3 linked regions of the Ovis aries genome follow. The protein of the gene in region 3 interacts with the protein of the main gene of each other region in a biochemical or structural test. Links are inferred from orthologs where the notes say so. Each region holds a gene or a part of one and is shown on either strand. Other genes may lie near its edges.

Region 1 (3,640 bases), on a different chromosome or scaffold from region 3:
CTAGTGCCTCTCACCCCTGGCCCTGGCTCAGCTGGCTCCATGCCAAGAAGACCCACCCTGTCACCCATCTGTCTTTCGAGGTTTATAGAGTGGTCTCCGACTGCACCCCCCCCCCAAGTCCCAGGAGAATTCAGCCACCTCTGTGCTCGCTGGAGCCCCAGAGAGATGTCCACTGGATCCCTAGAGATGCTTCAAGCACTTACTTGACTGTGTGTCTGTCTTCCCACCCAGACCACATGGGAGCCTGTCTGATCCATGTCTCCCGGACCCGGAACAGAGCGGGCGCCATGTGGGGCTCACCTCATGGAGCCAAGTGGGTGGGGCTGCTGGACGGCGGGACTGCATGTGGGCGGCCCTCGGGGCCTGAGGGGACTAGGGGAAGGGGAAGCCTCTTACCAGCTGTTGCGGGGGTGGCAGCCGCAGAACGAGATGTTCTTCATCTGGAAGAAGTGGCTGCAGTGTTGGAACTGGAAGAGACGGCAGAAGGGTTAGCAGAGGTGGCCCAGCCCGCCAGACACGCCTGCTCTGATCCGCCTGCTCCGCCCTTTGCAGCCGCCTCGGTGGTTCAGGGCCCACACCCCACCTCAGGGCCTCCGCTGAGACTCAGCTTGACACCCCGGAGAGAGATCTCAAGGTCACAAGAGGCAGGAGGACGCAGGTGGACGGTCAGTTTTCGGGCCGTGGCAATCTGCAGAGTCAAGGAGAAGAAGGTCTCAGGGGCCTACAAGCATCAGCTTCCCCCCTGGGGGAACATTCTCAATTAGGTCTGAAAAGCCGTGGCCCTGATTCGGGAAGATATGAGCATGGTCTTGGCCGCCCCGCGGTCTCGGGGTGGCCTGCCCCGTCTTCTCCCCGGCCCTTTGCAGGACTGCAGCCCCGGGCTCCTCAGCACCCGTCCCGTGAGAGGGTAGGGGCAGGGCTGCCCCGCCCCCCTGCTGCTCCGGCTCTGTCTCAGGACCGGCAGGCAGGCAGGCCCTCCTGAGCGGCCACTGAGCGAATACTGAGCGAGCAAATTGCATTCTCGGTGGCTCAGGTGGTAAAGAATCCGCCTGCGATGCAGAAGACCTGGGTTCGATCCCTGGATCAGGCAGATGCCCTGGAGAAGGAAATGGCAACCACTCCCGTGTTCCTGCCTGGAGAATCCCATGGGCAGAGGAGTCAGACGGGCTACAGTGCCTGGGGCTGCAAAGAGTCGGACACGACTGAGGGACTATCAGTGAGCCCCCGGAGGAGGGTCTGAGAGAGCTGGTCTTGACTTCCAGACACGAATAGGACAGGCTGCAGGGGGAGGTCAGTGGGATGGTGCCGGGGAACAGCCACGGCGCTGCCCTCGGCCTGTCTGCCAGCCCCTCCATCAGCGCTGGGGGTCCCAGGCTCGAGGCCTCCAAGGGCTGAGCCAGCCTGCAGCACTCGCCCCACCCCCAGCCCCAGACTGACCTTCTGCATGGCTGCACACAGGATGCCATTCCCCTGGTGGCAAGGCACCTCCACGGAGCCCAGGAACTGGACGTCGAAGCGCTCCACCCAGCAGGGGCCCCGCTTGCTCCCTAAGGGCCACAAGGGGCCTGGGTTAGGCCAGCAAGAGAGGGTCTGGGTGACACAATGACCCTTAGGGAAGGGGCCTCACCCAGCAGGTCCTTGGCAGGCCCTGGCACCGCATGGGCGTAGAAGGCAGGGAAGACCCCGCGCTCGCCCGTACGCATGTTGAAGCCACGGAACCAGAAGTCGTCCTCCTCAGCCTCCACCAGCACCGGGTCATCCACGTCCAGCTCCAGCTCATCGGGATGGCGGGGAATGAACCTGAGGGCGAGTCAGAGGTGGGAGATCACTAGGGCAGGGGCAGGAGGGCTGGGCTGTGCCCACCAGGGTCCCAGAGGGTCTGAGACTCGGGTGGAGGGTCAGCGCCAGCAAGGGGGGTGCCTGTACCTGAAGACAGCCCTGTGTGTTTGCTCTCTCTCCTCCCCATTGACCAGGCACGAAAAAAGGCCGAAAGACTCGGTGCCTGAGAGAGAGAAACAGAGGAAGGCTCAGGGAGGCGCTAGAAGGCCAGCCAGGGCCCCCTCCCCGCGGCCCCCTGGGGTGGGTTGGCCCTGTCTGGGGCTGGAGACAGAGCAGCCTCCCCTCGCCACTCCCCACGCGGGGGTAGCCCGGGAAAGCCCCCACGCAGGCGCTGGGTAAGAGGGCAGTGCCCAGCGCCGGCCACCCGCAGACCCTCAGGCTGTCCTGGCTCTTGGGGGCTGATCTGCGGCCCCCGGCGAGGAGCCAGCCTGCTCCCCTGGAACCACCCCCTCCCCCTTCCCACTCACTGGAAGACCGAGAGGTGCTGTTGACAAAGACGTTGAGGAACTTCTTGGAGAAGGTGAGGTCGGGGCTGTCCGGGGAGGCGTCCCCGGGGCCCTGCTCCCCACCCAGCAGCACGGCTCCTGCCTCCTCCTCGCTGGCCTCGCCTCCGCTGTCCTCGCTGTCCTCACCCAGGCCGGCGCAGCGCCGCAGGCTCACCAGCTCCAGCTGCGTGTGCTCGTCCACCACCAGCGTGTACTTGACCGCGTCGTACACCAGCGAGGCGTCCAGCGCCGCGGGGCCCGCTCCTCGGCCCCCGGGGGGCGCCGCCTTAGCCTCAGCTTCATCCTCCTCCTCTTCGTCCTCATCGTCGTCCTCATCCGAGCAGGCAGCGGAGCAGGCACGGCCTGGGCGGGCGGGGCGACCTGGGGCGGCCCACAGCGGGGTGATGGTGTCGCGCGTGGGGTTGCTGAGGAAGAGGCAGGGCCCCGGCTGCGCAGGGCCGGGCCGAGGGGCGGGGGGCGCGGGCGGCGGCGGCCCACACAGCGTCTCCATGTCCACCAGCTCCACGCCGCCAGGCGCCGCCGCTGCCGCCGGGGCCTCGCCAGCGGGTGAGGCAGGCTCCCCCGCAGGGCGCGGCGAGGGGGACAGGCACTGGCCGGGGCAGCGGATGGGCGAGGAGCCCTCGGAGATCATCCGGCTCACGAGGTTGCTGAGCAGCCAGGGCGAGTCGGCGTCCTCGCTGAGGTCCGGCTCCGACTCGGACCCGGACTCGTACTCGCTGTTGGTGTCCTCGGGGCCCACGGGCAGGAAGGCGGGGCGGCGCGGGGGCTCGCAGGGCGGCTCGGGCTCCGGCTCCGGCTCCGAGGCCGGCGACGAGGCCTCCTCGATGGAGTTGGTGAGGTGCGAGGAGCGGCCGCTGCTGCTGCTGCCGTCGTCACTGCTCCGCTCCAGCTCGGTCTCCGAGATAGACGAGATCATGCGCCCTAGGCGCGCGCCCCCGACGTCCTCGTAGTCGGAGCCCGGGGACGACAGGTCCTGGCTGCTGCGCCGGCCCCCGCGGCCTCCGCTGGAGCCGCTGCCCAGGTCGGCCTCGATACCCGGATCCGAGGAAGGGGAGGCCCCACCAGGTGCCAGGGGCCCTGCGGGCTGGTTTCCTTCGGAGTCGCAGCCTGGGCGCACAGGTGGCTGCGCCCCGCAGGGGTCCGTGTCGGTGGGCGCGAGGGGGACGGGCGCCTCTGCGGGGCAGAGGCTCAGGTCAGCCCCCCCTGCCCTCCCCCGCCTCCTGTGCCGCTCCCCAACACCCACCGCTACCCTGCTGCCCTGCTCACCTCGGAGAGGCTCCTGCGCCGCTGGGCAT
Region 2 (4,129 bases), about 4.5 Mb from region 3:
AGCTGGGCCGGGAGCACGACTTCCTCGGGTATTTTGCTGCTTGTTGATTTAAGTTTGAGGAATGAAAAAAAATTTTTTTTCTTCAGTGGAGTGAAGAGGCCCATCCTAGGATGGAGCAGGCTTGGGTGGGGGGGTGCCCTCTGGGAGATCCTCAAAGTTCTTCCTGCTAGGCCCTAGCTCAGGGGCAGCTCTGAGCTCCAAGCCCACCTCGCTGTGTGGTCACAGGTGGCCCCTTGACCTCTCTGGAGCTGCGCTGCGGTGGCGGCTGAATAGGCAGGGGCTGCAGCCAGCCCCCCAGGGGTGCGTCTTCATGTGCCCAGAACCTGGGGTTGGCTCCAGCACCGCCAGTAACAGCAGCCACACGGCGGCCAGGTTTCGTAATAAACCGGTCTTTTAATTGCTACGGGGCAGGACGGGGGGAGAAGAAAAAAAAGAGGCAAAGATTTGTTGGACTTGGGTGGCGCCGGCTGCAGAGAGAAGAGGCACTGTTTTTGCAAGGAGCCTGGAGCGGCTAACTCGGACTTAAGTAACACTTCCTGGTGAGCCTGCAGGAGGGGGTGCAGGGGCACACTGCTGGGGTGGGAGGGCGTAGTGGGGGCTGGTCCCTCACAGGGACTGCAAATACACAAGAACCCAGAAGCTTTAAAAATTTATTACAAGGCATCATAGTAGAAGTAAAAATATATGTATCTGTAAGCTTCCCCTCTGTCTTTCAGTGGTTCAAGTAACAAGTGCAAGTAACAAAATAGATTGTCAATATACTGAGTTTGCAAGCTGGGAGTTCATGGGTACAGAGCAACATGAGCCCCTGCTCCCAAGTCCCAAAGTTATTGTCCGGGCCGGGCTGCCGACCCTAGGCCAACCAAGGCCCGTTTTTTTGCAGATGTCAGCTCGGGTCTCAAGAAGGGTGGGGGCTGCAGTCGTCAGTCCCACCCCACCCCCGAAGTGTGGAGCCCAGGCCCTCCTTGGTAGGGGAAGCAAGCAGCTCCCTGGCTCCTGCGTCTGCTCTGTCACCAGGCCTGAGCTCCCGGGTCCCCTCTCCTGCTGGCCCGGGTCCTGTCTTCTCCTCACACCGTGGCCGCCGCTGGCCCCCGGCTCCAAGCTTCCCGCCCTGGGGCGGCCGCGCACTCCCTCTCCTGTCTTCAGTCTCCAGCGATCCTGCCCCCGATGGTCTCACGGGTTGGGTTGTTGGGGGGGTTGTTCTGGGAGGGAGGGGGGGTCAAATATTTATGTGGTTTTGTGTTTTCGGCAGCAAGAGTTTCCGATGCCCGGCGGGGTCTCAGCGCTCCTGGAGGGAGATGTAGGGAACCCACTGGTTGTTCCCCCTACTTTCTTCGCAGTAACTGGCCACCTCCACCAGGCCGTGGCTTTTCCAGGTGTCTGTATGAGGGTTCTGTGGGAGGGCGAGAAGAGGGGGTTCAGCAGGAGCCCCAAGGAGTGGGTGGGGAGTGTCCCTCTCCCAGGGCTCCCATGGGGAAAACAGGCTGGCTCAAAATAACTCGCTAGGTGAAGAGGCCTGGAGGCTAGCAGGTTGCCCACGGGACATGCCAAGCGTGGCTGAACGCTGAGCTGGTGCACACCGGCCAGCTCCACTTTGTTGACAAACACGGGCCCAGGTGCCGGGTGGGGGTGGGGCAGGGCGGAGCCCCAGTTTGCTCACCGTGACCAGGAGACAGTGCAGGTCCCGGGCCTCGGTGGTGCCCTGGGTCTCGGCCGGCTCGCCCAGCAGCTGCGCCAGGCGCTGCATCCCCGACACCCGCACGATGTCGATGTCGTTGTCGCAGCAGAAGGACTGAATAAGCGTAAAGTGGATCTGCAGGGCGATGTCGTCCTCCTCTTCCTCGTCGATGGCCAGGAGGCACAGGACCACGCTATCAGGATCCCTGAGGGGCCAGAGGGGGATGGGTGGGTCAGCTGGGGACTCGGAAGGGCCCCCCTTCTCGTGCGGCGGGGAGTTTGCAAAAGCAGAGAGCAACTGCAGGTGTGCAGGGGATGGCATCTGCAAGCAGATGCTGGGGTGGGGGAGAAGACGCTCGGTTCAAAGGCCGGGCGTGGGTGGGGGGTAAGTCAGGGACATAAACAGGCGACTGTTTGCAAGTGATGTAGCCCCAGCATACTGCAGCCTCCACGCCTCAAAAAAAAAAAAAAGGGCAGAAAGATCCCCAATCCACAATGGGGACACTTGGGGGTGTCCCAGACCCATGCAAGACAGGAGTGCAGGAGGGAGATTGCAGAGCGGAGAGGGTCCCCACCCGCGCCCAGCCGGGAGACAGAGTCTGACTCACACATTCATCAGCTTGGCCGACTCGTACACCCCCACGGTGAGGCGGTCCTGGCGCTGCGCGGCCACCAGCAACTCCTCCACCGCGGCGCTCACCGTCTGCATCCTGGGGCCAAGGGAGAGCGGAGGTCAGCATCAGGCCAGGCACGGGGCGCCCCTTCCCCACCCGGCCCAGCCTGACCTCAGGTGGCAGGGGCGCCACTACTTACTTTTGCGCCGCGTTGTCGCACGCCACGAGCTCTTCCAGTGTCATGTTGCAGTTATAATCCACAGTGGAAAACAGCCTCACGACAGGTTCAAGGAAGAAAATGCAATATCCAAGGCTGGAAAGCCCAAAGCCTTCCCACGGAGACCAAGCGTTCGTCAAGACCTTAGGAAGGCAGCGAAATCCACCCCCAAAAAAGGCGGAAAAAATTGCAAGTGTCTCAGCAAGAATAATCCAAGTAGCAACTGCAAAAGATCCGAGTGCTCGGCGTCAGCGATCTGAGCTTGCGGCGGCAGGCACAGCCTTTTATAGACTAAGAGGTTAGGGGGCGAGGCCCCAGTGACCCGTTCGCCCCTCCGATTGGACAAAACACAAAGGCGAGAGAAATTCGCGCTGCGGTTGGTCGGCGGCGGGGAGGGGGCGGGGCGCCGCGCGGGGGTGCCCCACGTGGGGGCGAGAGCCGGGAGGAGGGCGCCGGGAGGGTGGGGGTGGAGCCGGGGGGAACTTGAGTGCCAGAAAAGAGAAAAAAAAGCAGAAGTTTTCTCTTATTTCCCGGCAGCCGCGCCGCGTTTCGGGGCGCGCGCGGGATTTCCAGCGCGCGAGGCGGCCCAGACTTTCGAGGGGGGGGGCCTGGAATCCCCTCCCGGTCCCCGGAGAGTCCCCGGCCCGAGTCTTTCCAGGTTCTGCAGCAGTTTTACACCGAGAGGGAGCCCAGTCTGCAGCCCGATCCCTAGGTGGTGGGGGGGGGGGGGGGGGGTAGCCCCAGGCTGCAGAGACCCCAGCCCCTGGGTGACTTTACTTTCTGGGCGTTTCTGCCCTTATCTGTCTAATGGGAATGCAAAGTTGGCCTCATTAGATTGCAGAGTCCTAAATAAAGTGAGGGATGCACAGTAAGCGCCTAGCACGCGGTGGTGGTCGCAGGAGGCCGCCTAGATCCCCCAAATTGCAGGCTGCGAAAGCGGCCTCAGAGTTCCCACCCGTCCTATGACAATGCGCACCGGCCTCACTGGGTTGCAGGAAACATTAACTAATAAGTGGAGTACACAAGAGACACTTGATAAATATCGCCTGGTAGTCTGGGAGGTCGCCTCGAGTTCCCCAGAACCAGGGGCTGCAGAGCCCAGGGCCGAGACCCGGTGCCCCCTCTCCAACCCCGCGAGTTTCAGGGTGGGGCGCGCGTGGGAGGCGCAGGTGGCTAGGCCTCGCAGGCTCCACGCCCCCTGCAGGCGCCTGGCATTGCAAGGTTTGACTGCCCCTGCTCACAGCGGCTCTGTTGGGGGAAATCCAGCCCGAGAGAGGGCGAAGGGAGCCGGTTCATCTGTGAGCCACGCGCTGCCACCTTTGCGCGCTTACTGTGATGGTGGCCGCTTTTATTCCCTCCGGAGTGGGCGCTGAATGTATGGAGCGCGCGCTTGGCCCCAGGTTCTCCGTATCACGGTTCATTGAATCCCCAAGAACCCGGGAAGCATGGGCTATGCTTATCTGCAGGATGCAAAAGGGTAAACTGAGGTTTGGTGGGGCCTCCACTAATTCAAGGCCCCAGTTAGCTGGTGCTGGAGTTACACGTGTGCGCCAGGCGCGGCCGCGCGCTCGGACAGCCGCCAACCACGCCATCTCCCTGGGAAAGCAGTTCACGAGCCAGG
Region 3 (3,640 bases):
GGTGCTCACCAGTCTTTGACGAAGGACTGGAAGTCCCCCGAGAAGCCCATGTGTCCGGGCAGGAGCGGGGGCTCCTCTTGGAGGACTTTGGTGAGGACCTCAAAGTCCGTCTTGCAGTTCTTGTAGGGGAACTGTCCTGTCGCCAGCTCCACCTGGGAGAGAAACGGGCAAGGCTGGGCCGGCCAGGGAGGACGGGGCCCTGCCCTTTCTGCTGCCACTCCCTGCCTCCGGGCCGCGAGAAAACCCAGCCTCCAAAAGCCGGGGCCCCAACTCACCAAGGAGATGCCCAGGCTCCACACATCGGCCCGGATGTCATAGTCAGGCTTGGTGGGATCCGGGGGGTCGATGCGCTCAGGCTGCAGGTGGGAGGTGGGAGAGGGTGATGAATGAGCCCTGGGCCCGGGGTGGGTGCACCACCCCTCCCGCCAGCACCCCCGGTCCCCCTACTTACTGCCATGTAGGCGGCACAGCCCGCGCTCCGCGTTTTGGCTTTGGAGTCGACCAGGCGGCCGCTGATGCCGAAGTCACAAAGCTTGATCTGGCCTCGCTCGTCCAGCAGGATGTTGGAGGGCTTGACGTCACGGTGGATCACGCCATGCTTCTCCTTCAGGTAGTAGAGCGCCTTCACAATCTGCAGTGTAGGCAGGGGAGGGCACTTATCGGTGACGTGGAAGCCGAGGCTGGGGGGGCGCCTGCCTGCCCACTTGTGCCCTCCAGGCCACTCACCGCCACCGTCATCTTGCCCAGGATCCACTCGGGGATGGGGCCCTGCATCCGCTTCTTGAGCTTCTCTGCGCACGTGCCCATGAGCTCCATGGCGATGAAGACGTCCGTCTGCAGGGACAGCAGTGGCTGTACCCCTCTGCCCACCCGACAGGCTCAGGGCCCAGGGGAGGAGATGGGGGGGTTGGGGGAAGCCCTCGTCTCACGTTGGTGATGAAAGTCCCGAAGCACTGCACAATGTAGGGGCAGTCGTGGCTCTTGAGCACCACATCCAAATCCATGAGGATCCTCTTGTTCTCCTCCTTATTCCCCGAGCGCCGCATTTGCTGCATGGGACAGCCGAGGGCTTAGCGCTGAGCCTGGGGCGCAGGGGCCCCATGGGACATGGAAGGGGGTTGTGCTCCCATGGGCAGGGTGGGGTGGGCTCACCTTGACAGCGATGACGTGCCCTGTCTTCCGGAAGCGCATCTTCCACACCTGGCCGCACGTGCCGCTGCCCATCTCCCCCAGGTTCTCCAGGTCGTTGATCTCCGCCTGGTAGCGCTGGCAAGGAGAGCCAGGGCTGGGGATCCAGCAGGCCTCTGCCCTCACCCCTGGCCCACATCTCCCAGCTGTGTCGTGCCCACCCTCCCTGGGGCCACCAAGGGAAGTGCGTTAGGTTACCTGGCCCCCGATGGTCAGGTAGCCGGTCTGCTTCATGATCTCCTGCAGCTTCTGGTCAATCTCGATGCTGAAAGGAGAGGGAGGGAGTGCCGGTGGAGGGGGGTCCTGACCAACGTGAGGTTACCCCAGCCTCCAACATGCAGAGGGTTCCACAGAGCTCACCAGTGCCACCCTGAGGCTGGCCCTGCGCGCCCTGACCTCCCGACCATCCACCAGGAGGCTCACCTCTCCATGCTGCGGGGTGTGAACAAGGTTGATGGCAGCCCCAGCATGTGGCGGGGCCGGGCGGGGGGCGTGGGGTGCTGCGGGGAGCTCTCGGAGGACGGTGAGCGGCTGCCCCCATCGTTGGCCAGTGGGAGCTGCAGGGCTGGGGGGTGGTGAGAACCAGGGGTGGGGAGGGGGTTAGCTCCTGGCTGGCCCCAACTGCAGGCCCTGGTGCCCCCATCCTTCCCTCCCTGGTATCCCTTAGGTGGGCTGGCACAGCCCCCAGCCCTGGCAGACACGGAGCGCGCCCCAATCCTAGACCACTCTCGGGGTGCTTTCTCCCAGCCCCCATGACTGGGAAGGGCTTGCAGTGGGCTGGTGGGGGAAGGGGTGGTCCCCAGAGGCTGAGGGTTCACCCCAAGTATTCCCTGATAGAGAAAGGAGGCCCTGAGGCTGCCAGTGGACCTCGGGCAGGTAGGCCGCCCCTACCCTGGGGCCCCTTCCTCCCCACTCTGCCCAGGAAGAGGCTCAGGGCCACCACCCCCACAAAGTGGCAACGCTGAACTGGGGAGAGTGGGTGAGAGACCCAGGCTTCCAGCTGCCTTGCCTGTTCTGTTTCAGGGTCAGGGAGGGCTGCCCTCTGGCCAGCAGACTCTGTAAGCCTCCGGCCTGGCCTGCAGAGCTGGGGCCAATGCGGCCAGGGCAGGAGCCCAGGCTGGACCTGTGTCCTTCAGGTGAAGGGAGCCAGGTGACCCAGCCCCTCCAGGGGCCGGCAGGGCTCCAGGGCCAGGGGCCGGGCCAGGTGGGGAGGTTGGTTCTTTCCAGAAGCCTGCATGCGGACAGCTTGGGCATGCTACAGGCAGGCGGGCAGGCAGCGGGCAGGCAGCGGGCACCCCAGGATGGGCAGGCGGCATTAGGGGGCGGGAGGGTGGGAGACAGACAGATGGGAGCTGAGACTTGGGCCCAGCTGCCCAGAAGAGGCGCTGCAGAGACAGGCCGGAGAGGGGCTGGGGACCAGAGAGCAGGCCCCTGATGGACAAGGAGCCTCCCGGTCAGGCAGGCTACACAGTGGGAGCAGAGGCCAGAGTGGCCCTGGAAAAGGTGGACGGCCCTCCAGCGAACCCGCAAACCTCAGAGACCCTGGCACTCGGCCTCCAGAAGGGAGCCCCTGGCTGGGGAGGCCGAAGGCTACAAGCACCCCCCAGGTCCACCTCCCCTTGGAGAGCGGGCTGGGAGCTGGGCGGGGGGGCAGAGCTTCTCCCCTGCAAGTTCTCCAGGCGCCTGGTGGCGTGGGCCCAGTGGCCAACAGGCACAGACAGATGCAGTGTGGCTCTTGGCGCCTGGGCACTTTCTGTGCCCTGCTGGCCTACGACCTTGGTTGCAGCCAAAGCGAGGAACAGACCTATAAGCCTGGCCTGCCAGTCCCAGGAGGGCATGGCGAGAGTGATGGAACAGCTCTGGGAGCCCGAGGACGTGGCTGAGCCCAGTCCCCTCCACTGGCCCAGAGGCCTCTCCTCCGGTGCCCTCCCTGCTCTACCATGGCCAGAAGCCTGGTCCTAAACCCTCCCTCTCTGGCTGGACACTCTCCAGGGCTCCCAAAGACCCTGGATCCCTGGCAGACTGCCCCACACTGTCTTCGGCTCCCTGGGTGAGGGTCACACCCCTCCCCTCCCCTCCCCAGGCCTCTCTGTGCCCTGTCACCCCCACCCCCCACCCCCCACACAGTCCACTGGGCCCTCTGAGGGCTCCCCCAGAGCCCGGGGCCAAGGCAGTTTGTGGGGGCAGAGAGGCTTCCAGCCGGTCCCACAAACTGAAGCACGGCAGGTATTTAAGAGGAGCCGGTGCAGGATGGCTAAGGGGGGTAAGGCGGGAGGAGGTATACAAAGGCCCTGAAAACAGAGATCACACAGGTGGTGCCGGGCCCACGGCAGGTCAGGAAGGCCAAATGAGAGCCAGAGACTGAAGGGGAGAGAGAAAAGAGGAGGATGAATGAGCAAGGACGAGGGAAGACACAGGGCGGTGGGGTGGGGGGGGAGCATGCAGCCTGCCA

The links.
Region 1: the proteins of MAP2K7 (region 3) and MAPK8IP2 form a complex in vitro, tested with the Homo sapiens proteins (2 studies listed by BioGRID). The link is inferred for Ovis aries from reciprocal best matches to the Homo sapiens genes MAP2K7 and MAPK8IP2.
Region 2: the proteins of MAP2K7 (region 3) and GADD45B form a complex in vitro, tested with the Homo sapiens proteins (2 studies listed by BioGRID and IntAct). The link is inferred for Ovis aries from reciprocal best matches to the Homo sapiens genes MAP2K7 and GADD45B.

Annotation. Positions count from the first base shown.
Region 1 is NC_056056.1:225,852,335-225,855,974, reverse strand, and holds part of MAPK8IP2 (C-Jun-amino-terminal kinase-interacting protein 2), read right to left. Parts: coding exon 3,612-3,640; intron 3,519-3,611; coding exon 2,307-3,518; intron 2,003-2,306; coding exon 1,927-2,002; intron 1,801-1,926; coding exon 1,628-1,800; intron 1,548-1,627; coding exon 1,438-1,547; intron 689-1,437; coding exon 584-688; intron 468-583; coding exon 397-467; intron 1-396. UniProt on the Homo sapiens protein: The JNK-interacting protein (JIP) group of scaffold proteins selectively mediates JNK signaling by aggregating specific components of the MAPK cascade to form a functional JNK signaling module.
Region 2 is NC_056058.1:18,909,372-18,913,500, forward strand, and holds GADD45B (growth arrest and DNA damage-inducible protein GADD45 beta), read right to left. Parts: upstream 2,767-4,129; 5' UTR 2,535-2,766; coding exon 2,491-2,534; intron 2,388-2,490; coding exon 2,286-2,387; intron 1,884-2,285; coding exon 1,661-1,883; intron 1,394-1,660; coding exon 1,280-1,393; 3' UTR 637-1,279; downstream 1-636.
Region 3 is NC_056058.1:14,400,448-14,404,087, reverse strand, and holds part of MAP2K7 (dual specificity mitogen-activated protein kinase kinase 7), read right to left. Parts: intron 1,754-3,640; coding exon 1,612-1,753; intron 1,454-1,611; coding exon 1,387-1,453; intron 1,267-1,386; coding exon 1,153-1,266; intron 1,050-1,152; coding exon 930-1,049; intron 835-929; coding exon 727-834; intron 632-726; coding exon 452-631; intron 357-451; coding exon 276-356; intron 153-275; coding exon 10-152; intron 1-9. UniProt on the Homo sapiens protein: Dual specificity protein kinase which acts as an essential component of the MAP kinase signal transduction pathway. Essential component of the stress-activated protein kinase/c-Jun N-terminal kinase (SAP/JNK) signaling pathway.